Anolis sagrei: one gene and its partners. The protein of the gene in region 4 purifies or fractionates together with the protein of the main gene of each other region. This does not show direct contact. Links are inferred from orthologs where the notes say so. Each region holds a gene or a part of one and is shown on either strand. Other genes may lie near its edges.

The links.
Region 1: the proteins of BTRC (region 4) and FOXN2 purify together in Homo sapiens (affinity purification with mass spectrometry; 3 studies listed by BioGRID and IntAct, counting the BioPlex papers as one, with this or other methods). This does not show direct contact. The link is inferred for Anolis sagrei from reciprocal best matches to the Homo sapiens genes BTRC and FOXN2.
Region 2: the proteins of BTRC (region 4) and HNRNPD purify together in Homo sapiens (affinity purification with mass spectrometry; 3 studies listed by BioGRID, with this or other methods). This does not show direct contact. The link is inferred for Anolis sagrei from reciprocal best matches to the Homo sapiens genes BTRC and HNRNPD.
Region 3: the proteins of BTRC (region 4) and GLI1 purify together in Homo sapiens (affinity purification with western blotting; 3 studies listed by BioGRID). This does not show direct contact. The link is inferred for Anolis sagrei from reciprocal best matches to the Homo sapiens genes BTRC and GLI1.

What each region holds. Positions count from the first base shown.
Region 1 is NC_090021.1:20,799,901-20,807,014, forward strand, and holds the start of FOXN2 (forkhead box protein N2), read right to left. Parts: upstream 3,087-7,114; 5' UTR 2,892-3,086; intron 1-2,891. UniProt on the Homo sapiens protein: Binds to the purine-rich region in HTLV-I LTR.
Region 2 is NC_090025.1:17,071,917-17,079,939, reverse strand, and holds the start of HNRNPD (heterogeneous nuclear ribonucleoprotein D0), read left to right. Parts: upstream 1-4,938; 5' UTR 4,939-5,152; coding exon 5,153-5,352; intron 5,353-8,023. UniProt on the Homo sapiens protein: Binds with high affinity to RNA molecules that contain AU-rich elements (AREs) found within the 3'-UTR of many proto-oncogenes and cytokine mRNAs.
Region 3 is NC_090022.1:185,741,214-185,748,907, forward strand, and holds the start of GLI1 (zinc finger protein GLI1), read left to right. Parts: upstream 1-4,629; 5' UTR 4,630-5,442; intron 5,443-7,694. UniProt on the Homo sapiens protein: Acts as a transcriptional activator. Binds to the DNA consensus sequence 5'-GACCACCCA-3'. Regulates the transcription of specific genes during normal development.
Region 4 is NC_090023.1:216,207,927-216,214,885, forward strand, and holds the start of BTRC (F-box/WD repeat-containing protein 1A), read left to right. Parts: upstream 1-3,938; 5' UTR 3,939-4,052; coding exon 4,053-4,100; intron 4,101-4,179; exon of another isoform or gene 4,180-4,256; intron 4,257-6,959. UniProt on the Homo sapiens protein: Substrate recognition component of a SCF (SKP1-CUL1-F-box protein) E3 ubiquitin-protein ligase complex which mediates the ubiquitination and subsequent proteasomal degradation of target proteins. Recognizes and binds to phosphorylated target proteins.

The DNA of each region.
Region 1 (7,114 bases), on a different chromosome or scaffold from region 4:
CCCCGTAAAGGGATCTATCCACTTACAACACCCCAAAAATGGATGGAAGGAACTCTAGGCAGGTCTCCAAGGAAGATTGGGGAAAGGGGAGACAAATTAGGAACCCCAAAATAGGCCCTAAAACTCAACCCAAACTCTTCCATCCACATGAAAGTGAGTCTGAGGTCTGAGTCCAAAGGGGAACAGTTTGGGGATCCTATCAGACCCCTTTCTCCCCTTTCAAAGGGATATACTCATTCCCAACACCCCAAAATTGTATGGCAGGCCTCCAAGGAAGATTGGGAAAAGGGGAGACAAATTAGGAACCCCAAAATAGCCCCTAAAACTCAACCCAAACTCTTCCATCCACATGAAAGTGAGTCTGAGGTCTGAGTCCAAAGGGGAACAGTTTGGGGATCCTATCAGGCCCCTTTCTCCCCTTTCAAAGGGATATACTCATTCCCAACTCCCCAAAATTGTACGGCAGGCCTCCATGGAAGATTGGAAAGGGGAGACAAATTAGGAACCTCCAAAATAGCCCCTAAAACTCAATCCAAACTCTTCCATCCACATGAAAGCATGAAAAAAGATACTGAAGATCTGAGTCCAAAAGGCAACTGTTTGGGGATCCTAATCAGACCCCCTTTCCCCCCCCTTAAAGGGATATATTCATTCCCAACACCCCAAAATTTGATGGGGAAAACTCTAGCCAGGCCTCCAAGAATGATTGGGAGAAGAGGAGACAAGTTATGAACCTCTAAATAGCCCCTAAAACTCAACCCAAACTCCACATGAAAGTGTGCAAAAAGATACTGAAGATCTGAGTCCAAAAGGCAACTGTTTAGGTATCCTAATTAGACCCCTTTCTCCCTCCCTTAAAGGGATGTATCCATTCCCAACACCCCAAAATTGGATGGCAGGCCTCCATGGAAGATTGGGAAAACGGGAGACAAATTAGGAACCCCTAAAAAAGCCCCCAAACACAACCCAAATTCTTCCACCCACATGAAAACGTGCAAAAAGATACTGTGAAGATCTGAGTCCAAAGGGGAACAGTTTGGGGGTCCTAATCAGACCCCTTTCTCCCCTTTAAAGGGATATTATTCATTCCCAGATACTGAAGATCTGAGTCTTAAAGGGGAACAGTTGGGGGGTCCCAATCAGACCCCTTAAAGAGATAGTATATTCATTCCCAACACCCCAATGTTTGATGGGGGAAACTCTAGGCAGGCCTCCAAGAATGATTGGGAAAAGGGGAGATAAATTAGGAGCCCCAAAATAGCCCCTAAAACTCAACCCAAACTCTCCCATCCACATGAAAGCGTGCAAAAAGATACTGAAGATCTGAGTCCAAATTGGAACAGTTTGGGGGTCCTAATCAGAGGCCACTCGATCTCAACAACAACAATAGTAAAATAATGATGATGGTGGCAGTGTATTTGTTGCCCACCTCTCCTCATGGCTTAAACCACACACAAATAAAACATATCACCATTAAAAGACATATATTAAAACAAAATATGTTAACACCAAATACTAACAGATGTAAAGTTAGGATCAGAAATGGCCTTCTGTCTATGGCACTACAATACACAACACTCGCTTATTTTAATAATTGTATGTTTAATTCTGTGTTTTATTTGTATGTGGCTTAAACCACATACAAATAAAACACAACATTAAAAGACATATATTAAAACAAAATATGTTAACCCCAAATACTAACACAATGTAAAGTTAGGATCAGAAATAACCTTCTGTCTATGGCACTGCCATCCACAAAACTCATTTATTTTAATAATTGTATGTTTAATTCTGTGTTTTATTTGTATGTGGCTTAAACCACATACAAATAAAGCACAACAACATTAAAAGACAGATATTAAAAGGCACAAAACAAAAAATTAAAAGGCACAAAACACCAAATACTAACACAATGTGAAGTTATTTCTGATCCTAACTTTACACAATGTAAAGTTTGGATCAGAAATAACCTTCTGTCTATGTCACTGCCATACACAAAACTCACTTAATTTTAATAACTGTATATTTAATTATGTGTTAATATTTCATTCCCTCTTCTTTCGCTCCAAATCCCATTCCCAAGCTTTCGCAAAGAGATACTCTCAAAATATTAACAATTATTCCCAATATCCTCTCCAATTATTATTATTATTATTATTATTATTATTCCAATATCCTCTCCAAATATTCACACACAACTATTCCCAATATCCTCTCCAAATATTATTATTATTATTATTCCAATATCCTCTCCAAATATTATTATTATTATTATTCCAATATCCTCTCCAAATATTCACAAACAACTGGTTTGGAATAGAAGAGACCCTTTTTTTCTGCCTTGGAAAATAAATACCAAATCCATGGCAGAGATAAAGCAATATATTTCCTCCAAAGTCCCCAGTTGCAAAACCATTTGTTCCTCCAACAATATCCAAGTGCATATATATGCATACTCAAAACCTGGCTTGATACAATGGAGAGCCACAAATGGCACAACCAACCCCCCCCCCCCCAAATTACACCCCCTTTATTTCTTTCTCTGACACACATTCAAACCCTCATCTATCCTAGATCTCCCAAAAAGACCTCTCCAAAAGGAAAGGCACCCCTCCAAATGGCACTCCATTGTGCACCATTGTGTAAAGGCACATGCTGCCTTCCAAAGTCACCATGCCACTGCTTTATTTCAACCCTACATGCCAAAGTGGAACTACACATCCCAAAAAAGGCTAAACATTATGAAATCTGAAATTGGGGATGGGGAGATAATGGGAATAGGAAGGAAAGGCATGCCCAGTTTGGAGGGAAAGGAGAGAATAGGATTTGGAGGTGTTTGGAGGGGGTTCTGCCCAAACCTCAAGAGGGAATCAAAGGTTGCAACTCACTGTCCTCATGAAGGGGGGAGAGTTGAGGAAGGGTCTCTCTCTCTCTCAATATGGCAGCAGCAGCAGCAGAGGCAGAGGCAGCAGAGAAGGGGAAATGTGTCACCGACCAGCAGCAGCTGCTCCTCTGGCTTGGCTGGCTGGCTGGCTGCTGCCGCCTCCTCTCCCCTCCTCGCCATCTCCCCATAGCAACAAGGCGCCCAACTCCTCCTCCTCCCTCCTCTCCCCACGCCCCCCTGACTTCTCCCACCCCTTTCCTCGCAATCAGGGCGGCCTCTCGCCTTGTTTCCCCTCCGGGAGGCGGGCGAGTCCATTCCTTGAGAAAGGGGGGGAAGGCTGGGGAAAGGGGACCAAAGCAGGCAGGATTGGCTGGAGCAACCAGGGCAGCATGGGTTTGTTTTGTGTGTGCAGGGAGGGAAAAAGAGGAAAGGGTTGGGGAAAGAGAAGGAGGAAATAGGAGTATGCCTCAGCTGATTTATTATTATTATGTTTATTATTATGTTTATTGTTGTGCTTGTATTTAATAGAATCATAGAATCAAAGAGTTGGAAGAGACCTCATGGGCCATCCAGTCCAACCCCATTCTGCCAAGAAGCAGGAATATTGCATTCAAATCACCCCTGACAGATGGCCATCCAGCCTCTGTTTAAAGGCTTCCAAAGAAGGAGCCTCCACCACACTCGGATGCAGAGAGTTCCACTGCTGAACGGCTCTCACAGTCAGGAAGTTTTCCTCAGGTTCAGATGGAATCTCCTCTCTTAGAATCATAGAATCAAAGAGTTGGAAGAGACCTCATGGGCCATCCAGTCCAAACCCATTCTGCCAAGAAGCAGGAATATTGCATTCAAATCACCCTGACAGATGGCCATCCAGCCTCTGCTTAAAAGCTTCCAAAGAAGGAGCCTCCACCACACTCCGGGGCAGAGAGTTCCACTGCTGAACGGCTCTCACAGTTAGGAAGTTCTTCCTCATGTTCAGATGGAATCTCCTCTCTTGTAGTTTGAAGCCATTGTTCTGCATCCTAGTCTCCAGGGAAGCAGAAAACAAGCTTGCTCCCTCCTCCCTGTGGCTTCCTCTCACATATTTATACATGGCTATCATATCTCCTCTCAGCCTTCTCTTCTTCAGGCTAAACATGCCCAGCTCCTTAAGCTGCTCCTCATAGGGCTTGTTCTCCAGACCTTTTATCATTTTAGTCACCTTCCTCTGGACACATTCCACCTTGTCAACATCTCTCTTGAATTGTGGTGCCCAGAATTGGACACAATATTCCAGATGTGGTCTAACCAAAGCAGAATAGAGGGGTAGCATCACTTCCTTAGATCTAGACACTATGCTCCTATTGATGCAGGCCAAAATCCCATTGGCTTTTTTTGCCGCCACATCACATTGTTGGCTCATGTTTAACTTGTTGTCCACGAGGACTCCAAGATCTTTTTCACACGTACTGCTCTCGAGCCAGACATTGTCCCCCATTCTGTATCTTTGCATTTTGTTTTTTCTGCCAAAGTGGAGTATCTTGCATTTGTCACTGTTGAACTTCATTTTGTTAATTTTGGTAATTATTATTATTACTATTATTATTATTATGTTTATTATTATGTTTATTGTTGTGGTTGTATCTATATATATATAAATGCTCTGTGCATAATGAGTACCTTAAAAATCAAAAGAAACAATGAACAAAATCACACCACATTTGGGAACAAAACATCTCACAACACAAGGAGTGACCATCACTCAAAAAATTATTATTTTGTCACTTGGGAATTGTAGCTGCTGGGATTTATAGTTCACCTACAATCAAAGAGCATTCTGAACTCCATCAACGATGGAATTGAATGATAAAATCATAGCGTTGGAGAAGATCTCATGGGCCATCCAGTCCAACCCCCTGCCTAGAAGCAGGAAAATCACATGCAAAGCACCCCCGACAGATGGCCATCCAGCCTCTGTTTAAAAGCTTCCAAAGAAGGAGCTTCCACCACACACAGAGCTCTCATGACCAACAGAAAATACTGGAAGGGTTTGGTGGGCATTGACCTTGAGTTTGGGAGTTGTTGTTCATTCGTTCAGTCGTCTCCGACTCTTCGTGACCTCATAGACCAGCCCACGCCAGAGCTCCCTGTCGGCCGTCACCACCCCCAGCTCCTTCAAGGTCAAGCCAGTCACTTCAAGGATGCCGTCCACCCATCTTGCCCTTGGTCGGCCCCTCTTCCTTTTGCCTTCCACTTTCCCCAGCATCATTGTCTTCTCTAGGCTTTGCTGTCTCCTCATGATGTTTATTTATTATTTATTTATTTCATATACTTCTACCCCGCCTTTCTCAACCCCCGAGGGGGGACTCAGGGCGGCTTACAAAAAGGCACATCTTGGTGCCTACACAAATACAATAACATATAGAACCAGCAATTAAATGGTCAACAATTAAAACAACAATATATCTCACAATCAATAGCCAATCTCAGACACAGCGTTCGCCAACTCAGAGTCCATATTTCGTTCCACCTTGTCCAATTCCTATCCGTCGTCACAGTCCTTTATTCATCTGCCAGATTGCCCAAACGCCTGGTCCCACATCCATGTTTTTAATTTCTTTCTGAAGGAAAGGAGGGATGTTGCTGATCTAATTTCCCCAGGGAGTGAATTCCATAGATGAGGGGCCATCACTGAGAAGGCCCTGCTCCTCATCCCCGCCAATCTCACTTATGACAAAGACGGGGCCGAGAGCAGGGCCTCCCCAGAGGATCTCAGACTCCGAGATGGGACGTAAAGGGAGATGTGTTCGGACAGATACGCTGGGCCGGAACCGTATAGGGTTTTGTAGGTCAAAACCAGCACTTTGAATTGTGCTCGGAACTGGATCGGCAGCCAGTGGAGCTGACATAACAGGGGGGTGGTATGCTCCCTGTATGACGCTCCGGTGAGCAGTCTGGCTGCCTCCCGCTGGACTAATTGAAGTTTCCGAACAGTCTTCGAAGGCAACCCCACGTAGAGTGCGTTGCAGTAATCTATCCGGGATGTAACAAGAGTGTGGACCACCGTGGCCAGATCCGACTTCCCAAGGTACGGGCGCAGCTGGCGCACAAGTTTTAATTGTGCAAAAGCTCTCCCGGCCACCGCCGAGACCTGGGGCCAAAGTACTTCAAGTTTGCCTCTAGTATCCTTCCCTCCAGTGAGCAGCCGGGCTTTATTTCCTGGAGGATGGACTGGTTGGATCTTCTCGCAGTCCAAGGCACTCTCAGAACTTTACTCCAGCACCACAGCTCAAAACCATCGATCTTCCTTCGCTCAGCCTTCCCTAAGGTCCAGCTCTCACATCCGTAGGTTACTACAGGGAATACCATGGCTTGGACTAGGCGGATCTTTGTTGCCAGTCTGATGTCTCTACTCTTTACTATTTTATCGAGACTGGACATTGCTCTCCTCCCAAGAAGTAAGCGTCTTCTGATTTCCTGGCCAGTCTGCATCTGCAGTAATCTTTGCACCTAGAAATACAAAGTCTGTCACGGCCTCCACATTTTCTCCCTCTATTTTCCAGTTGTCAATTATTCTTGTTGCCATAATCTTGGGTTTTTGACATTTAGCTGCAACCCAGCTTTTGCGCTTTCTTCTTTCACCTTGATTAGAAGGCAAGGCTCCTCAGCTCCTCCTCGCTTTCGGCCATCACAGTGGTGTCATCTGCATATCTGAGGTTGTTAATGTTTCTTCCAGCAATTTTCACCCCAGCTTTGCATTCATCAAGCCCCGCACATCGCATGATGTGTTCTGCATACAAGTTAAAAAGGTACACTGCATAAGGTACACTGTGCATAATGAGTACCTTAAAAACAAAAGAACCAATGAACGAAATCACACCAAATTTGGCAACAAAACGTCTCACAACGCAAGGAGTGACCATCACTCAAAAAATTATGATTTTGTCATTTGGGAGTTGTAGTTGCTGGGATTTATAGTTCACCTACAATCATTGTTGAACTCCATCAACAATGGAATTGAACCAAACTTGGCACACAGAACTCCCCTGACCAACAGAAAAAATTGGAAGGGTTTGGTGGGCATTGAGTTTGGGAGTTGTAGTTCACCTACATCCAGAGAGCACAATGATGGATCTGGACCAAACTTGGCACAAGCACTCAATACGCCCAAATGTGAACATTCCACAGATATATAAACCCATTGTCCAAATTCCAACAGACCTCACTACCTCTGAGGATGCTTGCCAT
Region 2 (8,023 bases), on a different chromosome or scaffold from region 4:
AATTATAGGAAAGGAGATTCCACTTGAACATTAGAAAGAACTTCCTGACTATACGGGCTGCCACTTTTAGACTCTGTGTTAATAGAATCCTGGGTTGTATAGTTTGCTTATTTATTTATCGTGACCGAACAATTGTATTGCATTTTTTAACAAACAAACAAACAAACAAAACACAAAGTTTGCAAGCTTGGTAGTTAATTAAATGTCCTTTGACCAGTATCTGGCTCTTCTCCACACTCGCATGTTGTGGATTCCACTTTGTGGCCCCATTTCTTGCGGTTGGCTCTGCATCTCATGGTGCCAGAGCGCAGTCTGTTCAGCGCCTTCCAAGTCACCCAGTCCTCTGTGTGCTCAGGGGGGAGTCTCTCATTTGATATCAGCCATTGGTTGAGGTGTTGGGTTTGAGACTGCCAGTTTTGGACTCTTGCTTGCTGAGGTGTTCCAGCGAGTGTCTCTGTAGATCTTAGAAAACCATTTCTTGATTTAAGTCGTTGATGTGCTGGCTGATACCCAAATAAGGGATGAGCTGGAGATGTCTCTGCCTTGGTCCTTTCACTATTGGCTGCTACTTCCCGGCAGATGTCAGGTGGTGCAATGCTGGCTAAGCAGTATAATTTCTCCAGTAGTGTAGGGCGCAGAGATCCCGTGATAATGCGGCATGTCTCATTAAGAGACACACCTACTGTTTTAGTGTGGTGAGATGTGTTCCACACTGGGCATGCATACTCAGCAGCAGAGTAGCATAGCACAAGGGCAGATGTTTTCACTGTGTCTGGTTGTGATCCCCAGGTTGTGCCAGTCAGCTTTCGTATGATATTATTTCTAGCACCCACTTTTTGCTTGATATTCAGGCAGTGCTTCTTGTAGGTCAGAGCACGGTCCACAGGTTTTTTTTTTTCGTGTCAGGAGCAACCTGAGAAACTGCAAGTTGCTTCTGGTGTGAGAGAATTGGCCGTCTGCAAGGACGTTGCCCAGGGAACACTCTGATGATTTGATATTTTACCATCCTTGTGGGAGGCTTCTCTCATGTCCCCACATGAGGAGCTGGAGCTGATAGAAGGGACTCATCCGCCTCTCCCCGGATTCGAATCTGTGACCTGTCGATCTTCAGTCCTGCCGGCACAGGGGTTTAACCAATTGCGCCACCGGGGGATCCACGGTCCAGAGTGACTCCCAGATATTTTGGTGTGCTGCAATGCTCCAGTGGGATTCCTTCCCTGGTAATCCTCAGAGCTCGGGATGCTTGGTATATTTTGCTGAGACACCAACAGTCTTTCATCATAGGAGCGCAGTGGGTTAAACCCCTGTGTTGGCAGGTTGCAGGTTCGAATCCAGGGAGAGGCGGATGAGCTATCAGCTCTAGCTCCTCATGCGAGGATATGAGAGAAGCCTCCCACAAGGATGTTTTTGTTGTTCATTCGTTCAGTCGTCTCCGACTCTTCGTGACCTCATGGACCAGCCCACGTCAGAGCTCCCTGTCGGCCGTCACCACCTCCAGCTCCTTCAAGGTCAGTCCAGTCACTTCAAGGATGCCATCCATCCATCTTGTCCTTGGTCGGCCCCTCTTCCTTTCGCCTTCCACTTTCCCCAGCATAATTGTCTTCTCTAGGCTTTGCTGTCTCCTCATGATGTGGCCAAAGTACTTCAACTTTGTCTCTAGTCTCCTTCCCTCCAGTGAGCAGTCGGGCTTTATTTCCTGGAGGATGGACTGGTTGGATCTTCTCGCAGTCCAAGGCACTCTCAGCACTTTCCTCCAACACCACAGCTCAAAAGCATCGATCTTCCTTCGCTCAGCCTTCCATAAGGTCCAGCTCTCACATCTGTAGGTGACTACAGGGAATACCATGGCTTTGACTAGGCGGATCTTTGTTGCCAGTCTGATGTCTCTACTCTTTACTATTTTATCGAGAGTGGACACTGCTCTCCTCCCAAGAAGTAAGCGTCTTCTGATTTCCTGGCCACAGTCTGCACCTGCAGTAATCTTTGCGCCTAGAAATACAAAGTCTGTCACGGCCTCCACATTTTCTCCCTCTATTTTCCTGTTGTCAATCATTCTTGTTGCCATAATCTTGGTTTTTTTTTATGTTTAGCTGCAACCCCGCTTTTGTGCTTTCTTCTTTCACCTTGATTAGAAGGCTCCTCAGCTCCTCCTCGCTTTCGGCCACAAGGATGATAAAACATCAAAAAATGCCTCTAGAACATGGCCATAAGAGGAGAAATGCCTCTAGAACATGGCCATATAAGAGGAGAAATGCCTCTAGAACATGGCCATATGAGGAGAAATGCCTCTAGAACATGGCCATATAAGAGAAAATGCCTCTAGAACATGGCCATATAAGAGGAGAAAATGCCTCTAGAACATGGCCATATAAGAGGAGAAAATGCCTCTAGAACATGGCCATATAAGAGGAGAAAATGCCTCTAGAACATGGCCATATAAGAGGAGAAAATGCCTCTAGAACATGGCCATATAAGAGGAGAAAATGCCTCTAGAACATGGCCATATAAGAGGAGAAAATGCCTCTAGAACATGGCCATATAAGAGGAGAAAATGCCTCTAAAACATGGCCATATAAGAGGAGAAAATGCATCTAGAACATGGCCATACAGCCCGGAAAAACCTACAACAACCCATCAAAAAATCATCCGGGCGTCCCCTGGACAATGTCCTTGCAGATGGCCAATTCTCTCACACCAGAAGCGACCTGCAGTTTCTCAGGTCGCTCCTGGCACGACAAAAAAACAAAAACAAAAACAAAAAACCCCATAGTTTCTAGCCCATGCCTGGGCCAACATGGGCCCTCCACATGTTTTGGAGTTAAAACTATGGCTATTAGGAATGTATAAATATGTGAGAGAAAGCCACAGGGAGGAGGAGGAGGGAGCAAGCTTGTTTTCTGCTTCCTTGGAGACTAGGACGCGGAACAATGGCTTCAAACTACAAGAAAGGATATTCCATCTGAACACGAGGAAGAACTTCCTGACTGTGAGAACCGTTCAGCAGTGGAACTCTCTGCCCCAGAGTGTGGTGGAGGCTCCTTCTTTGGAAGCTTTTAAATAGAGGCTGGATGGCCATCTGTCAGGGGTGATTTGAATGCAACATTCCTGCTTCTTGGCGGAATGGGGTTGGACTGGATGGCCCATGAGGTTTCTTCCAACTCTTTGATTCTATGAATTGTGGGAGTTGAAGTCCAAAGAGCCTGGAGGGAGGGCCCAAGTTGGCCCAGGCCTTGCCTAGAATCAGTGGGAAATGTATTGTCGAAGGCTTCGACAATACATTTCCAGAGGTTCCCAGAAGACATCACGGCGCTGTTTCACCATTGCCTCACCACCAGCTATTTTCAGTGGGACAATGAATTCTACGAACAGAAAGATGGAGTAGCTATGGGGAGCCCTCTCAGCCCAGTCATAGCTAACTTCTACATGGAACAATTTGAAAAACAAGCTCTTGAAACAGCAACCAAAAAGCCCACTATATGGTTCAGATATGTGGATGACACTTTCACCATTTGGAGCCATGGAGAAGAAGAACTCAACAGGTTCCTGGAACATCTTAACAGCATCCACCCTAACATCCAGTTCACTATGGAAATAGAAAAGGAAGGAAGACTGCCTTTTCTAGATGTCCTAGTCATCCGCAAACCAGATCAACAATTGGGTCACACCGTCTACAGAAAACCCACACACACAGACAGATATCTACATAAAAACTCCAACCATCACCCAAGTCAAAAAAGAAGCACCATCAAAGCCTTGGCAGACCGTGCAAAAAGAATCTGTGAACCCCACCTCCTCCAAGGTGAACTGAACCACCTCAACTGGGCTCTACAGGCCAATGGATACTCCACCTCAGACATCAGAAGAGCTGCAAGACCAAGAACAAGCCACAAGAATAAAGATGAAGATCCACCCAGAGGAAAAGTGTCCCTGCCATACATCAAGGGAACCACTGACCGGATAGGGAAGCTGATGAGGAAACACAACATACAAACAATCTACAAACCCACCAAGAAAATTCAACAAATGCTACGTTCAGCAAAGGACAAGAGGGATCCTCTCACCTCTGCAGGAGTCTACCGTGTACCATGCAGCTGTGGACAAGTCTACATAGGGACCACCAAACGCAGCGCCCAGACACGCATCAAGGAACATGAAAGGCACTGCAGACTACTCCAACCAGAGAAATCAGCCATAGCAGAGCACCTGATGAACCAACCTGGACACAGCATTCTATTTGAGAACACAAAAATGCTGGACCACTCTCACAACCACCATGTCAGGCTACACAGAGAAGCCATTGAAATCCACAAACATGTGGACAATTTCAACAGAAAGGAAGAAACCATGAAAATGAACAAAGTCTGGCTACCAGTATTAAAAAATTCTAAAATTAAAACAGCAGAGAGAAAAACAGGCAGGGACATCTAATCACCTTTCATTAAGAGTTTGCTCCAGGCACAGTCAGCCCATTGTATGCTAATCAAGGTGGTCAATTGAAAAGATTCACACCTAGCCCATCTTACAGTAGCCTTTTGTCTCACCCTGGTCTTTCCACAGATATATAAACCCCCCTTTTTTCCCAGCTCCAGACCTCACCCTCTGAGGATGCCTGCCATAGATGCAGGCGAAACGTCAGGAGAAATGCCTCTAGAACATGGCCATATAGCCCGAAAAAACCCACAAGAAATCAGTGGGAAAGCCGCCATGTTTGGCCAACACGCGAGACAGGCGTCATCTTTCCTTGCTCCCCGTTTCTTCCCCTCGGCCAATCAGAGAGCGGGTCAGGGCGCGCTTTCTCTTAGCCAATCAGGGAGCGGGCCAGCGCGCGCTTCCCCCCGACCAATCGGAGACCGCGTCAGGGCGCGCTTTCCCTTGTTCTCCAATCAGCGAGCGGGAGAGGGACAGTAAGTAGGGCGCCGGGCACGTGACCGCGACGCCACCACCACCGCCGCCGCATTCCTTCCGTCCGCCATTTTAGGTTGGGATCAGCGAGGCGGCGCCATTAAAGCGCAAGAGAGAGACAGAGAGAGAAAGAGAGAAGGCGTGAGAGAGAGAAAGAAAGGAAGAGAAAGAGAGGAGAGCGAGGCTGCTTCAGTTTGAGCCGGCTTTCCTCCCCGTTTTGCCGACTCCCGCTTTCTCCTCAACTCCCAACATGTCGGACCAAGACTTCATGGGCGACGCAGGCGCTGCCGAGGCCTTTGACGAGGAGGCTGAGCAGCTGGAGGGAGTCGCGGTCGGAGGGAACGACGAAGAGGACGGCGCGGAAGGCGGCGGCGGCGGAGGGGGCGGCGGCGAATCCGAAGGCGCCAAAATCGACGCCAGCAAGAATGAGGAGGATGAAGGGTACGTTGGGTATGTTTCAACCGAACCGAACCGGGCCTGGGAAACGGGGGTGCGCGACGCGTGTGTGGTGTGTGCTGTGTGTCCCCCTCCCCCCATTCCCTTCCGCCATGCAGGAAGTCACAATCAAAGCCCCCCCGACAGATGGCTATCCAGTTTCTGCTTTGAAAACTCCCAGAGAGAGAGAGGCCCCACCCCTCCCCCCGCTTCCCCATTCTCTTCCGCCATGCAGGAAGTCACAATCAAAGCCCCCCCGACAGATGGCCATCCAGTTTCTGCTTTGAAAACTCCCAGAGAGAGAGAGGCCCCACCCCTCCCCCCGCTTCCCCATTCCCTTCCGCCATGCAGGAAGTCACAATCAAAGCCCCCCCCCCGACAGATGGCCATTATTATTATTATTATTATTATTATTATTAACATTATTTATACCCCGCAAAATCTCCCGAAGGACTCGATGCGGCTCACAAAGTCCAAGGCCGCCAACAACACAACATACATAATACACAATAAACTTAAAAGCAAATAATAAATTTTTGAGTCCCCCTTCCCCATTCCCTTCCGCCATGCAGAAAGTCTCAATCAAAGCCCCCCCCCCCCCCCGACAGATGGCCATCCAGTTTCTGCTTTGAAAACTCCCAGAGAGAGAGAGAGAGAGGCCCCTCCCCCCACAGGTCTTCCTCAGACTGTAATACTCGAAGTAAAAAATTAAAATACTGATATTGTACCATGCTAATAAAATAATATATATGTAATGTAATATAATGTATTGTATATACATGTAATTTTATATACAATGTAAATTTTTACTAATATTATATAATGTAATATAATATATTGTATATACATATAATATTTATAACATAATGTAATGCAATATAATACTCATAGTAATATATCATAATTATAAATTTATATTACATGTGATATTACTAATCATATTACAGTATAATTGATATAGTGCAATATAGCAATATTTAAAACTGATATTGTACTATGTTAATAATATATTGTATGTATATATACCTTGTAAGCCGCTCTAAGTCCCCTTCGGGATGAGAAGGGCAGCATATAAATGTCGTAAATAATAAATAAATAAATAATATATTGTATATGCATATATTTATATTATAATGTAATGCAATATAATACTAATAGTAATATATAATAAAATTTTATTTATATTACATGTAATATTACTAATACTACAATATAATGGTATAGTACAATATAGTAAGATGTTATACTGATATTGTACTATGTTAATAATGTAATGTATATACATATATTTTTAATATAATAATGTAATGCAATATAATACCAATAGTAATATATAATAAAATTATATTTATATTACAATATAATTATATTGTAATATTACAATATAATGGTATAGTACAATGTAGTAATATTTAATACTGATATTGTACTATGCTAATAATGTAATATAATATTACTAACAATATTATATAATTAATATATCTTGTATATACCTATAATATTTATAATATATTGTAATGCAATATAAGACTAATAGTAATATGATATTATAATAGTATATTTATATTAAATTTAATATTACTGACAATATTATATAATTAATATATTGTATATACATATAATATTTATAATATAATGTAATGCAATATAATACTAATAGTAATATGGTATTATATTTATATATTTATATTAAATTTAATATTACTAACAATATTATATAATGTAATATAATACCTTATATATAGATATATTTATAATATAATGTAATGAAATATAATACTAATAGTTATATGATACTATAATTATATATTTATATTACATGTAATGCTACTAATATTACAATATAATGGTATAGTACAACATAGTAATATTTAATACTGATATTGTACTATGCTAATAATATAATATATTGTATAAATATATATCTTGTAAGCCGTTCTGAGTCCCCTTCCGGGTGAGAAGGGTGGCATATAAATGTCGTAAATATATATAAAATAGTGTTACAGTTTTATTGTAGGTTAAGTTTGCCTTAATATTTCAATTAAGTTTGTATTTATCTATCTATCTATCTATGAGATAGAATATCAAGGCAAGGAGATTTCACCACCCGCCCAGGCAGCAGCATATTCCACTGTCCCAATTTCTTCCCAAAACTGTAATACTTTTAAGTAAAAAAAACAAACATGTATAACAGTGTTGCAGTTTTACCGTAAGTTCAGTTTGCCTTAATATTTTAATTACTAATTCCATTGTTGGAAATTATTCATACTGTAATACTTAAAGTAAAAAAATAAAATACATATATAATAATGTTACAGTTTTTTAAAAATACTTTTTTTATTGCATGCAGGTAGAAAAATATCACAATTTATCACCATTTCAGAATACATATAAAATATCATTTTCTTAGTGTTCTTACCCATGCCTAATCCACCTTTATCTCCCACTTGTGTCTATTGATTTTACATCCCCTCCCCCATCCCCCAATAGTGTTACAGTTTTATTTTAGGTTAGGTTTCCCTTAATACTTCAATGTGTGTGCATATATGTGTGTGTGTATGTGTGTATGTATGCATGTAATAGTGTACCTAGAGAAGAAAAATTCACCACCTGCCCAGAGGCAGCAGCATATTCCACTGTCCCAAGTTCTTCCTCATGCTGTAATACTTAAAAAAGATTAAAATAC
Region 3 (7,694 bases), on a different chromosome or scaffold from region 4:
TTGGATTCGTTATTGTATTTGATTCGTTATCGGTTTGAGGTCGTTTCGTTATTATTTCCGCATGTCTGTGGCAAGTTTTATAGTTGTTTTTTGTTTAATTAGTGAAAAAAATTATAATATCACACCAACAGTCAACAACAGAGGGAGAGGGAAGCTTCAGAAGTTCCCCCTGTCCCATTTGGAGGTTGTTTAGCGTATTGCGCGGTCGCGTCCGCCATTAACGAATCGATTCGTTAATGTTTCGTATTTGTTTCGTTAATGTTTCGTAATTTTTTAAACATTTACGAAATTTCGTAAATATCGAACTTTTTAAAAGAAAAATTTCGGAATTCTTTTAAATATTGAAACGCAAAAACCCCCAAAAAACGAATCGATTTTAGAAACAAATTTTTCCGTTGTTACCCAGGCCTAATAGATAGATAGATAGATAGATATGATCCACACACACACACAAACATGTATATGACAGATATAGTATCATAGATTTGAAAGGGACCCTCAAAGGACAATTATATGCTGCATGTTCCAGAGTAGCCAAACCAGACAACCTCTACATCAACACTGACAAAGAAACAACAAGAAATACTGTGTACTCACAAGTATAAAGAAATTACATATATTAGAAACCAACACTTTCTCATTACTTTACTTTCAAGTAGTAGTAGTAGTAGACTGGGCCACAGCAATGCATGGCAGGGAAAGGCTAGTAGAATTATAAAATACATTAAAACTTTTAAAACATTTAAGTCAATATCACAATTTTTAAAGTACGCTATCCATAATCGTAATCCGAGATGTCCTTGCACATAATTCTATATCTGTTTATTGCACGGTTTCTCCAAAGGCTTGATCAAAGAACCACGTTTTTACTCTCTCACTGAAGGTTAGGAGGGAGGGGGTTGATCTAATATTCCTTCAGAGGGAATTCCACAGCTGAGGGGCCATCACTGAGAAGGCCCTGTCTCTTGCCCCCACCAGTTGCACCTGCGAAGGAAGTGGGACCGAGACCAGGGCCTCCCCGGATCTTAAACTCTGAGATGGTTCATATGAGGAGATCTGTTAGGACAGGTAAGCTGGGCCGGAACCATTTAGGGCTTTATAGGCTAAAACCAGCACTTTGAATTGTGCTTGGTAGCAGACCGACAGTTAGTGGAGCTGACGCAACAGGGGAGTCTGCTCTGGTAAGCACTCTGGCTGCCGCCCATTGGACTATTTGAAGCTTCCAAACAGTCTTCAAGGGCAATCCTATGTAGAGCATGTTGAATTAATCTATATGGGTTGTAAACAGAGCATGGTCTACCATGGCCAAGTCTGACTTGCCAAAATACAGGCGCAACTGGCGCACAAGTTTTAATTGTGTGAATGCTTCCCTGGCCACTGCTGAAACCTGAGATTCCAGGCTCAGCAATGAGTCCAGGACTCCCAAGCTGCAAACCTGCACCTTCAGGGGGAGTGTAACCCCATCGAACACAGACTGTACCCTATACCATGCTTGGCTTTGTGACTGACCAGGAATACCTCTGTCTTGTCTGGATTCAATTTCAATTTGTTTGCTCCCATCCAGGCTGACACAGCTGCCAAGCACCGGTTCAAAACCTGAACAGAACCTACTTATTAGCAGGTGGAAAGGAGTAATAGAGTTGAATGTCATCTGCATACAGATGGCATCGAACTCCAAAACTCCGGATGATCTCTCCCAAGGGCTTCATATAGATGTTAAACAACCTGGGAGACAGTATTGAGCCCTGCAGGACCCCGAGCAGGTGTCCCCCAACAACACCTTCTGGGAATGACCCTCTCAGAAGGACAGGAGCCCCTACAGAACAGTACCTCCAAAGCCTATTCCTGTGAGGTGTTCAAACTACAGGAAAGGAGATGCCACCTGAACATGAGGAAGAACTTTCTAACAGTGAGAGCTGTTCAGCAGTGGAACTCTCTGCCCCAGAGTGTGGTGGAGGCTCCTTCTTTGGAGTCTGTTAAGAAGAGGCTGGATAGCCATCTGTCGGGGCTGCTTTGAATGTGATTTTCCTGCTTCTTGGCAGGGGGTTGGACTGGATGGCCCACGAGGTCTCTTCCAACTCAATGATTCTATGATTCTATGAAAGCCCTGAATGCATGCTGCATTGCCCAAACACTGTGCTGACAACTTGCCCTCTGCAACCACATGGAAGTGGCCACCGTAGCTAGCTATTACTATGTGCCATGATGGTGAAGGACGCCTCTCTGACCCCTTCAACACAGCTGAATAGACTCCAACAGTATCTGGTAGGCCTGGGTAACAACGGAAAAATTTGTTTCTAAAATCGATTCGTTTTTTGGGGGTTTTTGCGTTTCGTTATTTAAAATAATTACAAAATTTTCCTTTAAAAAAGTTCGATATTTACGAAATTTCGTAAATGTGAAAAAAATTACAAAACATTAACGAATCGATTTCCGAAACAATAACGAATCGATTCGTTAATGGCGGACGCGACCGCGAAATACGCTAAAAAACCTCCAAAAACTTCTGAAGCTTCCCTCTCCCTCTGTTGTTGACTGTTGGTGTGATATTATAATTTTTTTTCACTAATTAAACCATAAAACTGGCCCAGACATGCGGAAATAATAACAAAACGACCTCAGAACAATAACGAAACGAATACAATAACGAAATACGAAGCATTTGCAAAACGTGTTTAAAAATTCGTTTTTTTAAAAAATTGCTCCAGAATGGTTCGTTATCGTTTTGTAATTGAAAAAATTAACGAATTATTAACGAATTACGAATTAACGAAACGAAACCGCCCAGGCCTAGTATCTGGTATATATGGCAGTGGACTCAGGGCCCTTCCACACAGCCCTATATCCCAGAATATCAAGGCAGAAAATCCCACAATATCTGCCTTGAACTGGGTTATCTGAGGGCCTTTCCACACAGTCCAATATCCCAGAATATCAAGGCAGAAAATCCCACATTCTCTGAGTGTAGATTCACATAACCCAGGGCCCTTCCATACAGCCCTATATCCCAGAATACCAAGGCAGAAAATCCCACATTATTTGAGTGTGGACTCAGATAACCCAGTTCAAAGAAGATATTGTTGGGATTTTCTGCCTCGATATTTTGGGATACAGGGCTGTGTGGAAGGGCCCCTCAATAACCCAGTTGAAAACACATATTGTGGGATTTTCTGCCTTGATATTATGAGATATAGGTATTTGTGGAAGGGCCCTGAGTCCACACTCAGATAATACGAAATTTCCAGCCTCGATATTCTGGGATATAGTGCTGTGTTGAAGGGCCCAGGGTTATGTGAATCCACACTCAGAGAATGTGGGATTTTCTACCTTAATATTTTGGGATATAGGGCTGTGTGGAAGGGCCCTCAGATAACCCAGTTCAAAGCAAATATTGTGGGCTTTTCTGCCTTGATATTATGGGATATAGGGCTGTGTGGAAGGGCCCTGGGTTATCTAAGTCCACACTCAGATATTGTGGGCTTTTCTGCCTTGATATCCTGAGTTGTATGGCTGTGTGAAGGGCCCACAGAAAATCCAGTTCAAAGCAGATATTGTGGGTTTTCTGACTTGATATTCTGGATTATAGGGCTGTGTGGAAGGGCCCTGGGTTATCTGAGTCCAGACTCTGATAATGTGTGATTTTCTGCCTTGATATTCTGGGATATAGGGCTGTGCAGAAGGCCTTGGGTTATCTGAATCCCGACTCCGACAATGTGGGATTTTCTACTGTGATATTGTGGGTTATAGGGCTGTGTGGAAGGGCCCTGGGTTATGTGAATCCACACTCAGAGAATGTGGGATTTTCTGCCTTAATATTTTGGGATATAGGGCTGTGTGGAAGGGCCTCCAGATAACCCAGTTCAAACAAATATTGTGTGCTTTTCTGCCTTGGTATTATGGGATATAGGGCTGTGTGGAAGGGCCCTGGGTTATCTGAGTCCATACTCAGATATTGTGGGATTTTTTGCCTTGATATCCTGGGATATAGGGCTGTGTAGAAGGACCCTAAGTCTACACTCAGATTCTGTGGGATTTTCTGCCTTGATATTCTGGGATATAGGGCAGTGTAGAAGGGCCCTTCGATAACCGAGTTCAAAACAGATATTGTGAGATTTTATGCCCTGATATTATGGGATATAGGGCTGTGTCGAAGTGCCCCGAGTCCACACTCAGATATTGTGGGATTTTCTGCCTTGATATTCTGGGATATAGGGCTGTATGGAAGGGCCCTGGGTTATCTGAATCCACACTCATATATTGTGGGATTATCTGCCTTAATATCCTGCGTTATATGGCTGTGTGGAAGGCCCCTCAGATAACCCACTTCAAAGCAGATAATGTGGGCTTTTCTGCCTTGATATCCTGGGATACAGGGCTGTGTGGAAGGGCCCTGGGTAGAGTCCATGCTCAGATATTGTGAGATTTTCTGCCTTAATATCCTGGGTTATATGACTGTGTGGAAGGGGCCTCAGATAATCCAGTTCAAAGCAGATATTGTGGGATTTTCAGCCTTGATATCTTGGGTTATAGGGCTGTGTGGAAGGGCCCCCAAACTCCAGCCCGGATTTTCCAAGCTGCTTCAGAGGCTTGGGAGGCAGCATGCTGTGAGAACTGAGGCTGAGAGGGGCTCCTTCATCTCCAACCTCACACAGGGCTCAGCTTACCCTCCTCCTGCTGCTAAAGATCCCACCTTCTCAACAACAACAAAAAAGAAAGAAATCTTGAAAACTTTCCCTGAAAAAAAAAGAAAAAAAGAAAGAAAGCACCACCCTCTTCCTCCTCTTCTTCCTGAGCAGCCTGAAAGCCCTAAAGGGGAGTGTTGGGGGGAGAGATTTGGGGGAGAAAGAGGGGATCCCATCCCCTCCTGGCCCATCTCTCTGCTGCTGCTGCGCCCAGCCCTCCTTTCCCCAGCCGGCCGCCCAGGCGGAGCGGGCTGATTGGCTCCATGTGCCAAAGCTCAAGCAAAGCATCGGGAAAGTTTGGAAAGCAAACCAAAACTTCCTGCTTCAAGGTGGTCCTTCTCTCGGGCTCCAGACGGGAGGCTCGCACATTGATCATCGCGCCTGCTCCTGGGATGAAGTTGGTTTGATTTGAATCTCGGAGAAAAAGAAGAAGAAGGGGAGCAATATATATATTAATCAGCGTCGGTGGGATTTTCTGCCTCCCTTTTCTTTCCTCTACAAAAAGAAGGCAAAGCCACAATGTGGAAAATTTGGGGGATCTGGTGAAAGAAGCCACCCCCCTTCTCCCTCATCTCTTCTTCTTTCCTGATGGGGTTTTGTTGTTGTTGTTTGCGGGCGACACTCAGTAGCCCACCCTGGATGTTGCTAGCCTAGGGGAAACCAATCCGAAGAGAGAGGGAAACTGCCCATCTCGAGAAGCCCAAGAGCTGTGCTTGGGATCATCATGACTCCCCAACAATCCCCATCCAGGCTTTGAAAGGTAAGCTCTTTCTTCTTCAAAGCCCAGTTCTGTGTCTATTTGTGTGTATCTCCCATTGGTTTGGGGAGATGGACCTTATTTGTTTTGTTTTTGGCAACTGGCAGGTTTTGCCTTTCCAACACTCCTGAGTTTTTGTTTTTTTCTGACATGAGCAAAAAAGCAAGCAGCGTGGGTGGGAATTGGGAAAGGAATGGGAATGTTATGGGGTTTTTTTTCTTTCTTTCCTGAACTGCTACAAAGTTTGTCGGATTTGTCTCAACTTTCTTCAAAGGCCTCTTCCACACAGCTGTATAAAATCCACATTGGACTGAATTGTATGGCAGTGTGGACTCACATAATCCTGTCCCTGTGGATTCTCTGCTTTGATATTCTGGGTTATATGGCTGAGGCCCCTTCCAGACAGCTGAATAGAACCCAACAGTATCTGCTTTGAACTGGAATATATGGCAGTGTGGACTCAGACAACCCAGTTCAAAGCAGATATTATGGGATTGTCTGCCTTGACATTCTGGGTTATATGGCTGTGTGGAAGGGCCCCAAAAGGATTTTTGAAGGCTGGATCTATACTACCATATAGTCCAGGGGCCCTTCCACACAGCCATATAATCCAGAATATCAAGGCAGGAAATTCCACAATATCTGAGTGTAGACGCAGAACCTATCCACACAGCCCTGTAGCAAAAAATCCCACAATATCTGCTTTGAACTGGGTTATCTGAGAACCCTTCCACATAGCCCTATATCCCAGAATATCAAGGCAGGAAATCCGACAATATCTGCCTTGAATTGGAATATCTGAGGGCCCTTCCACACAACACTATATCCCAGAATATCAAGGCAGGAAATTCCACAATATCTGAGTGTAGACTCAGGACCTATCCACACAGCCCTGTAGCAAAAAATCCCACAATATCTGCTTTGAACAGCCCTATAGCAGAAAATCCCACAATATCTGCTTTGAACTGGGTTATCTGAGGACCCTTCCACATAGCCCTATATCCCAGAATATCAAGGCAGGAAATCCCACAATATCTGCTTTGAATTGGAATATCTGAGGGCTCTTCCACACAACACTATATCCCAGAATATCAAGGCAGGAAATTCCACAATATCTGAGTGTAGACTCAGGGCCCTTTGACACAGCCTTATATCCCATAATATCAAGGCAGAAAATCTCACAATATCTGTTTTGAATTGGAATATCTGAGGGCCCTTCCACACAGCCCTATATCCCATAATATCAAGGTGGGAAATCCCACAATATCTGCTTTGAAGTGGGTTATCGAAGGGCCCTTCCACACTGCACTATATCCCAGAATATCAAGGCAGGAAATCCCACATTGTCTGAGTGTGGACTCAGGGCCCTTCTACAAATTCCTATATCTCATAATATCAAGGCAGAAAATCCCACAATATCTGCTTTGAACTGGGTTATCGAAGGGCCCTTCCACACAGCCCTATATCCCATAATATCAAGGCAGGAAATCTCACAATATCTGCTTTGAACTGGGTTATCTGAGTCCACACTCAGATAATGTGGGATTTTCTGTCTTGATATTCTGGGGTATAGGGTTGTTTGGAAGGCCCAGAATCCACACTTCCATATATCCCAGTTCAAAACAGATAATGTGGTATTTTATTCAGATGTGTGGATGGGGCCCAGGTTATCAAAGCAGATCATCCACATCATCTCTGTTGAAGTGGATTCTATGAGGTCCCTTCTACACTGCCGTATAAAATCCAGATGATTTGCTTTGAACTGAATTATGTGGCAGTGCAGACTCCCATAATCCAGTTCAAAGCCAAAAATGTGCATCGTCTGATTTGATAATCTGGATTATATGGCAGTATAAAAGGGCCCTGAGTCTACACTGCCATATAATCCAGGTCAAAGGAGATAATTTGGGTCATATATGATAGTGTAGATGGGGCTGAAAACACATCTTGTCCAGGAAGAAGTTGGTGAGCTCCTGTCTTGAAACCCGGCCTCAAAAGCAAACTTTTGAGGGTGGTAAACTTTCTGATTCCAAGCAAGTTTCTACACTTTCAGAATTTTGATTGTTGGCCAGACCCAACAGAGAACGGACATTGCCAGATTGCTCTCCGCACCCCTCTCACATCTTTTCTTTCTGTCAGATTTTGATTCAACCACCCAAAAGAAGTCTCCATCAATCCTGTTCTGCAAAATCATAGAAACAGTTCTGATCCCATTAAAACTGGGGTAGGGATGTCAATAAACTCCACTAACAATT
Region 4 (6,959 bases):
ACAACTTGACCTTCATATTTCCTCTCCTGCAATGCAAAACTGTTGGGGAGTGTTGAATATGTCACATAATGCATTTTGTTGTGCAAGTTCACAGTAGATGACAAAAATCCTCTAATAAGTTTTCAACATGAACTGAGAATTTGCTGCAGTAAAATCAGTGTGTATTGGGAGGGGGATTCCTTGGCAGATGAGTTGAGGTAGGAAGAAGTCCTTGAAGGTAGAAAATTTAAATTAAAAATAAGCTTTTCAGTTTCCTTTTAATCTGTAAGCAGAAAAGCAAAGTTTTCCAAATACACAATCTACGTGTGTGTGTGTGTGGAGGGGGGTAGAGGGGGGTGCTTCCTAAATACAAATATAGGGAAAAGCAAGAAAGGGAATACATATATAGTGCTTATTTAACTGGCACCCATGGAGATTGTTAGATGCGGATAAATGTAACTTCTGGTTGCTTGAGCGTAAGTATTTAAAATAGGCCTAGCTGTACCATAGCATACACTTGACTTCATATTAATATTGAAATGCCGTAATTAAAAGCAAATAAAGACAAATATAACTCAATGCAACACAGTTTTACTGTATTATAAAAACAGGTTTGGGAATGAATTATTATTCTATTTTGTTGTTGTTTCCTTGGGTTCTGGTTAACTGCAAGTCTACTGTATTTGGAATTATTATTTTTAACGCAGAACACATCTTGGATTTTTCATGTCTCATTATACAGCACACATTCTTCTGTTTGCCTGTCATTACAGATGCATCCCTAGATTAATCCAAGGAGGACTCGCTGTTGCCACAGATGTTCCATGTGATCATTTCAGCACTAGCATACCTTAATCCATCCTGACCAGACAGTTACAGCTGCTTCTAGATAACATGGTAGATATTCTATTCCTCTGGGGAAGCAGCAGGTGTTCCTACCTGGGGCCTGAAACTCTTAAGAGGACTTTGGATAAGCAGAACACTCAGTAAAGTTACGCTGTTGTGTTTAAGTAATAAGAAAAGCTTATAAACATACTCTTTCCATAATGATTATTGAATAGCCAGAATTTCTCATATACTTGATGACTTCCATCTAGTTGCAAGTCCTGAATCAGTTGGATTCACATAAATCTTGGCTTCATGTTTGCCAGGTAACACAACAACATCATTGTGTAGGGAATGGAAGGAATGTGAAGGATGCAGTAGATGACTGTGTAAATTATTTTAACTACTACATCCCTCTCAGTTTATCCAGTTAAGATAATATAAACCAACAACTAATCTTCTAAAACTGATGTACTGCTACGAGGCTCACAAAAGTTATGAGTCCTGGAATTAAAGAAATAATACATTTTGAAGATATCAAAGTGAACTGATAATAATTTAAGAGAGACAGATTGTAATGATTTTGGAAGCAACATCATTTAATGAGAGGCTATCTTGTTCATTATGGAGGGGGGGGCTTTTATAACATGCCCATTTTATTATGATTTGGCAAGTGGGGTGAGTCTATAAGAAAGATAAGTAGCCTGCCTAAGACCAACCAATGAGTACGTGGTTGCCCTCACATTTGTCCCTATGCTCTCCAAAGACACCTGCTACATGAAACAAGGTACGAAATGTGGATGCTTACATTCACTTATAATCAGCTGTGGTTATTTTGGCTGTTGGCACTCTTTCCTTCTTTCTGTCGTTTGGTTAACATGACTTTCTTCTCATTCTTTGCTGTCATATTCTCCACTACTAAAATTTAAATTACAAGTACATCTAAAACAAGGACTTAGGGTGCGTCCATACCAAGCATGAGCAAAGTTTGTCCCTCCAGGTGTTTTGGATTTCAACTCCCACAATTCCTAACTAGCTGGGATTTCTGGGAGTTGGAATCCAAAATCCCGGGAGGGCCAAAGTTTGCCCATGTCTGGTCTATATTGTAGAATTAATGCAGTTTGGCACCATTGTAACAGTCATGGCTCAATGCTATGGAATCATAGAGAGGCACCAAGGAGGCCACATACAGCTCTTGTAAAGCTACAACTCCCATTATTCCATACATTGAGCCAAGGCAGCTAAAGTGGTGTCAAACTGCACTGTAGTTCCATGGTTACCAAACGTGAGTCATGCAGTAGTTTGGGACTTCAGCTCCCTTAAGCCTTAAAGCCCTTCCAGACAGGCCCTATATCCCAGGACCTGATCCCAGGTTTTATGTTTTTCCCAGATTATCTGGCAGTGGGGAGTCATATAATCCAGTTTAAAGCAGAAAACCTCGGATCAGATACTGGCATATAGGGCCTATCTGGAAGGGCGCTTAGTCAGGAAATTTGGGATATGAAGCCTCAAAATCTGTACAAAGTTTGGGAATCACTGCTGTAGATTGTTTCCCAAACACAGGGCCCTTCCATATAACCCAGAATATCAAGGCAAAAAAAATTAAATCCCACATTATCTGCTTTGAACTGGGTTATTTGAGCCCACGCCGCCATATATTCCAGTTCAAAGCAGATATTGTGAGATTTCCTGCCTTTATATTCTGGGTTGTATGGCTGTCTGTAAGGGTTCTGATCCCACACTGCCATATATTCCAGTTCAAAGCAGAAAATGTGGGATTTTATTCAGCTGTGTGGAAGAGGCCCCAGAATATCAAGGCAAAAAAAAAAAAAAACCCTCACAATATCTGTTTTCATCTAGATTATTTGAGTCCACACTGCCATATTTATTTAATATATATAAATACTGTAAATAAATAAATATATAAATAAAGCCAAAGTCCTCTAAGGGCCCTTCCACACAGCCCTCTAGCCCAGAATATTAAGGTAGGAAAACCCACATGACCTGAGTGTGGACTCAGATAACCCAGTTCAAAGCAGATATTCTGGGATTTTCTGCCTCGATGTTCTAGGTAGGATATTGGGCTGTGTGGAAGGGCCCAATGAGTTTGGGATTTCAGCTCCCAGAATCTCTGACCATTGGCCAAGGCAGCCGAGGCTTCTGGGAGTTGAAGTCTAAACACCTAGAGGATTAAAGTTTGGGAAGCATTGAAAGGAGCAAATCGTGACAGAGTTTTGTTGTTCTTGTTCATTCGTTCAGTCGTCTCCGACTCTTCGTGACCTCATGGACAAGCCCACGCCAGAGCTCCCTGTCGGCCATCACCACCCGCAGCTCCTTCAAGGTCAGTCCAGTCACTTCAAGGATGCCATCCATCCATCTTGCCCTTGGTCGGCCCCTCTTCCTTTTGCCTTCCACTTTCCCCAGCATAATTGTCTTCTCCAGGCTTTGCTGTCTCCTCATGATGTGGCCAAAGTACTTCAACTTTGTCTCTAGTATCCTTCCCTCCAATGAGCAGTCGGGCTTTATTTCCTGGAGGATGGGCTGGTTGGATCTTCTCGCAGTCCAAGGCACTCTCAGCACTTTCCTCCAACACCACAGCTCAAAAGCATCGATCTTCCTTCGCTCAGCCTTCCCTAAGGTCCAGCTCTCACATCCGTAGGTGACTACAGGGAATACCATGGCTTTGACTAGGCGGATCTTTGTTGCCAGTCTGATGTCTCTACTCTTCACTATTTTATCCTGATTGGTCATTGCTCTCCTTCCAAGAAGTAAGCGTCTTCTGATTTCCTGGCCACAGTCTGCATCTGCTGTAATCTTTGCACCTAGAAATACAAACTCTGACACAGCCTCCACATTTTCTCCCTCTGTTTTGTGACAGAGTTTACAAGTCCCTATTAGAGGTCGAGGCTCAAGTCAGAACTACAGCTCCCATCAGCCCTTGCGAGCACACGCTCTCACTTCCCTCAGCGCCTATTCTCTCCTCCTCCAAGAGGCGGCCTGCTCAGCGTATCCCCTGTCGCAGGGCTTGTTGGGAAGTGTAGTCCAATAGCGGTGCCGGAATCTGCTCGGTAAACGGGCCTGGGACTACATTTCCCAGTGAGCCGAGCGGGAGGAAAGCAGGGGCTTCCTGTTTGCCGCTGCGCTGTCTGCGGCCTTGCACTGAGGGAAAGGGAGGGAGAGCGGGGGCGGCCTAGGCCCAGGCCTCAGGCCCGGAGCTGGCGGGGGAGCAGCGGCAGAGGAGAGGGGCGATGGACCCGGCCGAGGCGGTGGTGCAGGAGAAGGCCCTCAAGTTCATGGTGAGGAGGAAGAGAGAGGGAGGGTTTGTGGCGGAGGGAGGAAGTGAATGGCGAAGAAGAAGAGGAGGAGGAGGGAGGCGATACGGGCTGAGAGGTTTCCCTGGCAACCCGGGGTACCTGCGAAATGAGGTAGTGGCTGGAGGAGAAGGAAGGGGGGTAAGCCCGCCATAGCTCTTCCCTACCTGTTTCCAAGAATCTTTAATATGTGTTTTTTAAATTCAACAACAAGGCTCTAAACTGCAATGATGGAGGCTTTGTGGTATCAGTGGCTGGTTGGAGGAGGAAGAAGGACAACGATTGGGAAGCTAGTGAAGGAAAAGTAGTCAAGGCCTGAGAAGAGGGAATGATGCAGCAGCTGATGGGATTTAGCATTCCTTTGGCTTTGAAGAGGGTTCTTGGTGACAGACTTTGAATGATGCAGGTGATGGGTTTATCTTTGTTTGTTTTTAAGTGGAGGGCTGTATTTGTTCTAAGCCAGGGCCCTTCCACACAGCCATCTATATAAATAAAAATGTAATGTTCGTTTGTGGGATTCATGTAACTCAAAAGCTACTGGATGAATTGACACCAAATTTGGACACAATACAACTATCAGGTCAACAAATGACCATCACTCATAAAAACACTGAAAAACACAGTGGAAGAGACTTAAAAAGCCCCCCCCCCAATACATTACAACGCATGTGCAAAACCACATATATACACATATACACAAATATGCATATTTATACACACACAAAACATATACACCAACTGTACCACAGAAATTCGTGGCAGGGACGGCTAGTATAAAATAGATTATCAAGGCAGATAATCCAAAATAACTTCTTTGAACTGGGTTATCTGAGTCCACACTGCCATATAACCCAGTTCAAAGCAGATAATGTGGGATTTTATGCAGCTGTGTGGAAGGGGCCCTAGAATATCAAGGCAGAAAATCTCGCAATAAGTCCACACTGCGATATAACCCCTTTCAAAGCAAATAATGTGGGATTTTATGCAGCTGTGTGGAAGGGGCCCCAGAATATCAAGGCAGAAAATCCCGCAATAACTGCTTTGAACTGGGTTATCTGAGTCCACACTGCCATATAATAATAATAATAATAATAATAATCTTTATTTATACCCCGCCACCATCTCCCCAATGGGGACTCGGAGCGGCTTACATGAGGCCAACCCCAAACAGAAAATTACAATAAAATAAAACCGAAAACGCAAACAATAAACAACAAACAACATAATTACATAAAACATAAGAGGGTTCTTGGTGACAGTATGAATTATGCAGGTGATGGTTTTTATGGTTGTTGTTTTTTAAGTGGAGGGCTGTATTTGTTCTAAAACAAGGTTAATACACCCAGGGCCATTCCACACAGGCATATAAAATAGAATATCAAGGGAGATAATCCACAATAACTGCTTTGAACTGGGTTATCTGAGTTCACATTGCCATATAACCCAGTTCAAAGCAGATAATGTGGGATTTTATGCAGCTGTGTGGAAGGGGCCCTAGAATATCAAGGCAGAAAATCCCACAATAACCGCTTTGAACTGGGTTATCTGAGTCTACACTGCCATATAATAATAAACTTTATTTATACCCCGCCACCATCTCCCCATTGGGGACTCGGAGCGGCTTACATGAGGCCAACCCCAAACAGAAAATTACAATAAAATAAAACCGAAAACGCAAACAATAAACAACAAACAACATAATTACATAAAACATATGAAAATATAGCAATATAAAATTACAATAGGCACAATCACAATGACAAAGGGCGGGCTACATATAATGATTAAAAGAGAGACTGATTAAAACTAATTAAAACTCAGGCGAGATAAGAGAGAGTCAGATTATTTGCGGAGGAGGACTCATAGTGGGGGTTGTGGAATCAGGCTTTTTCACAAAGGGGGGGGGCATATACTCCAATGATAAAACGTTGAGGCTAAGCAATAGTGTGAGAATGTAAACCTGTTCATCAACCTAGTTCAAAGCAGATAATGTGGATTTTATGCAGATGTGTGAAAGGGGCCCCAGAGAATCAAGGCAGAAAATCCCACAGTAACTGTTTTGAACTACTGCCATATAACCCAGTTCAGAGCAGATAATGTGGGATTTTATTCAGAGGTGTGGAAAGGGCCTAGGCTAATACATCAGGTTAATGAAATCTTGGGTCATATTATTTTAAAAACTAAACTAGGTTGAAGTAAAAATGTTCAAGGTCTAACAAAAGGGGGTGATGGGTTAGCTGATGGGATTTCGCAATACTTGGTATAGTAGACTCTCAGGGATTTGTAGATGTCACATCAAAGTACTTTTTGGTTACGTGAGAGTTACCATTAAAAATAGGCCTCATACTATACCCCATTATGGACCCACCGCCAGGACTCTACTGCCACCGTGACTAATAGCCTATGGTGATAATAATGGAAAGCCAAAGAGTATGAAAGACGCTGGTGTGTTTTTAATTTTTTTTAAGTGGATGGTTTTCTAAAATAAGCTTAATACACTCAGGCTAATAACAAGATTAATGACATCTTGGGTCATTCTTAAAAATTAAAAAATGAACTAGAATGATGGGGCTTTATTGTGTTTTGGTAGAGGAGAGGAAAGAAGTCCAAATATTGGAAATATACTGAAGGAAAACCATGTGTGTGTGTGTGTGTCAGGAGTGACTTGAGAAACTGTAAGTTGCTTCTGGTGTGAGATAATTGGTCATCTGCAAGGACGTTGCCCAGGGGATGCCCGGATGTTTGATGTTTTAGCATTCTTGTGGGAGGCTTCTCTCATATTTCTGCATTGGGAGCTGGAGCTGACAGAGGGAGCGCCACCTGCTCTCCCCGGATTCGAACCGC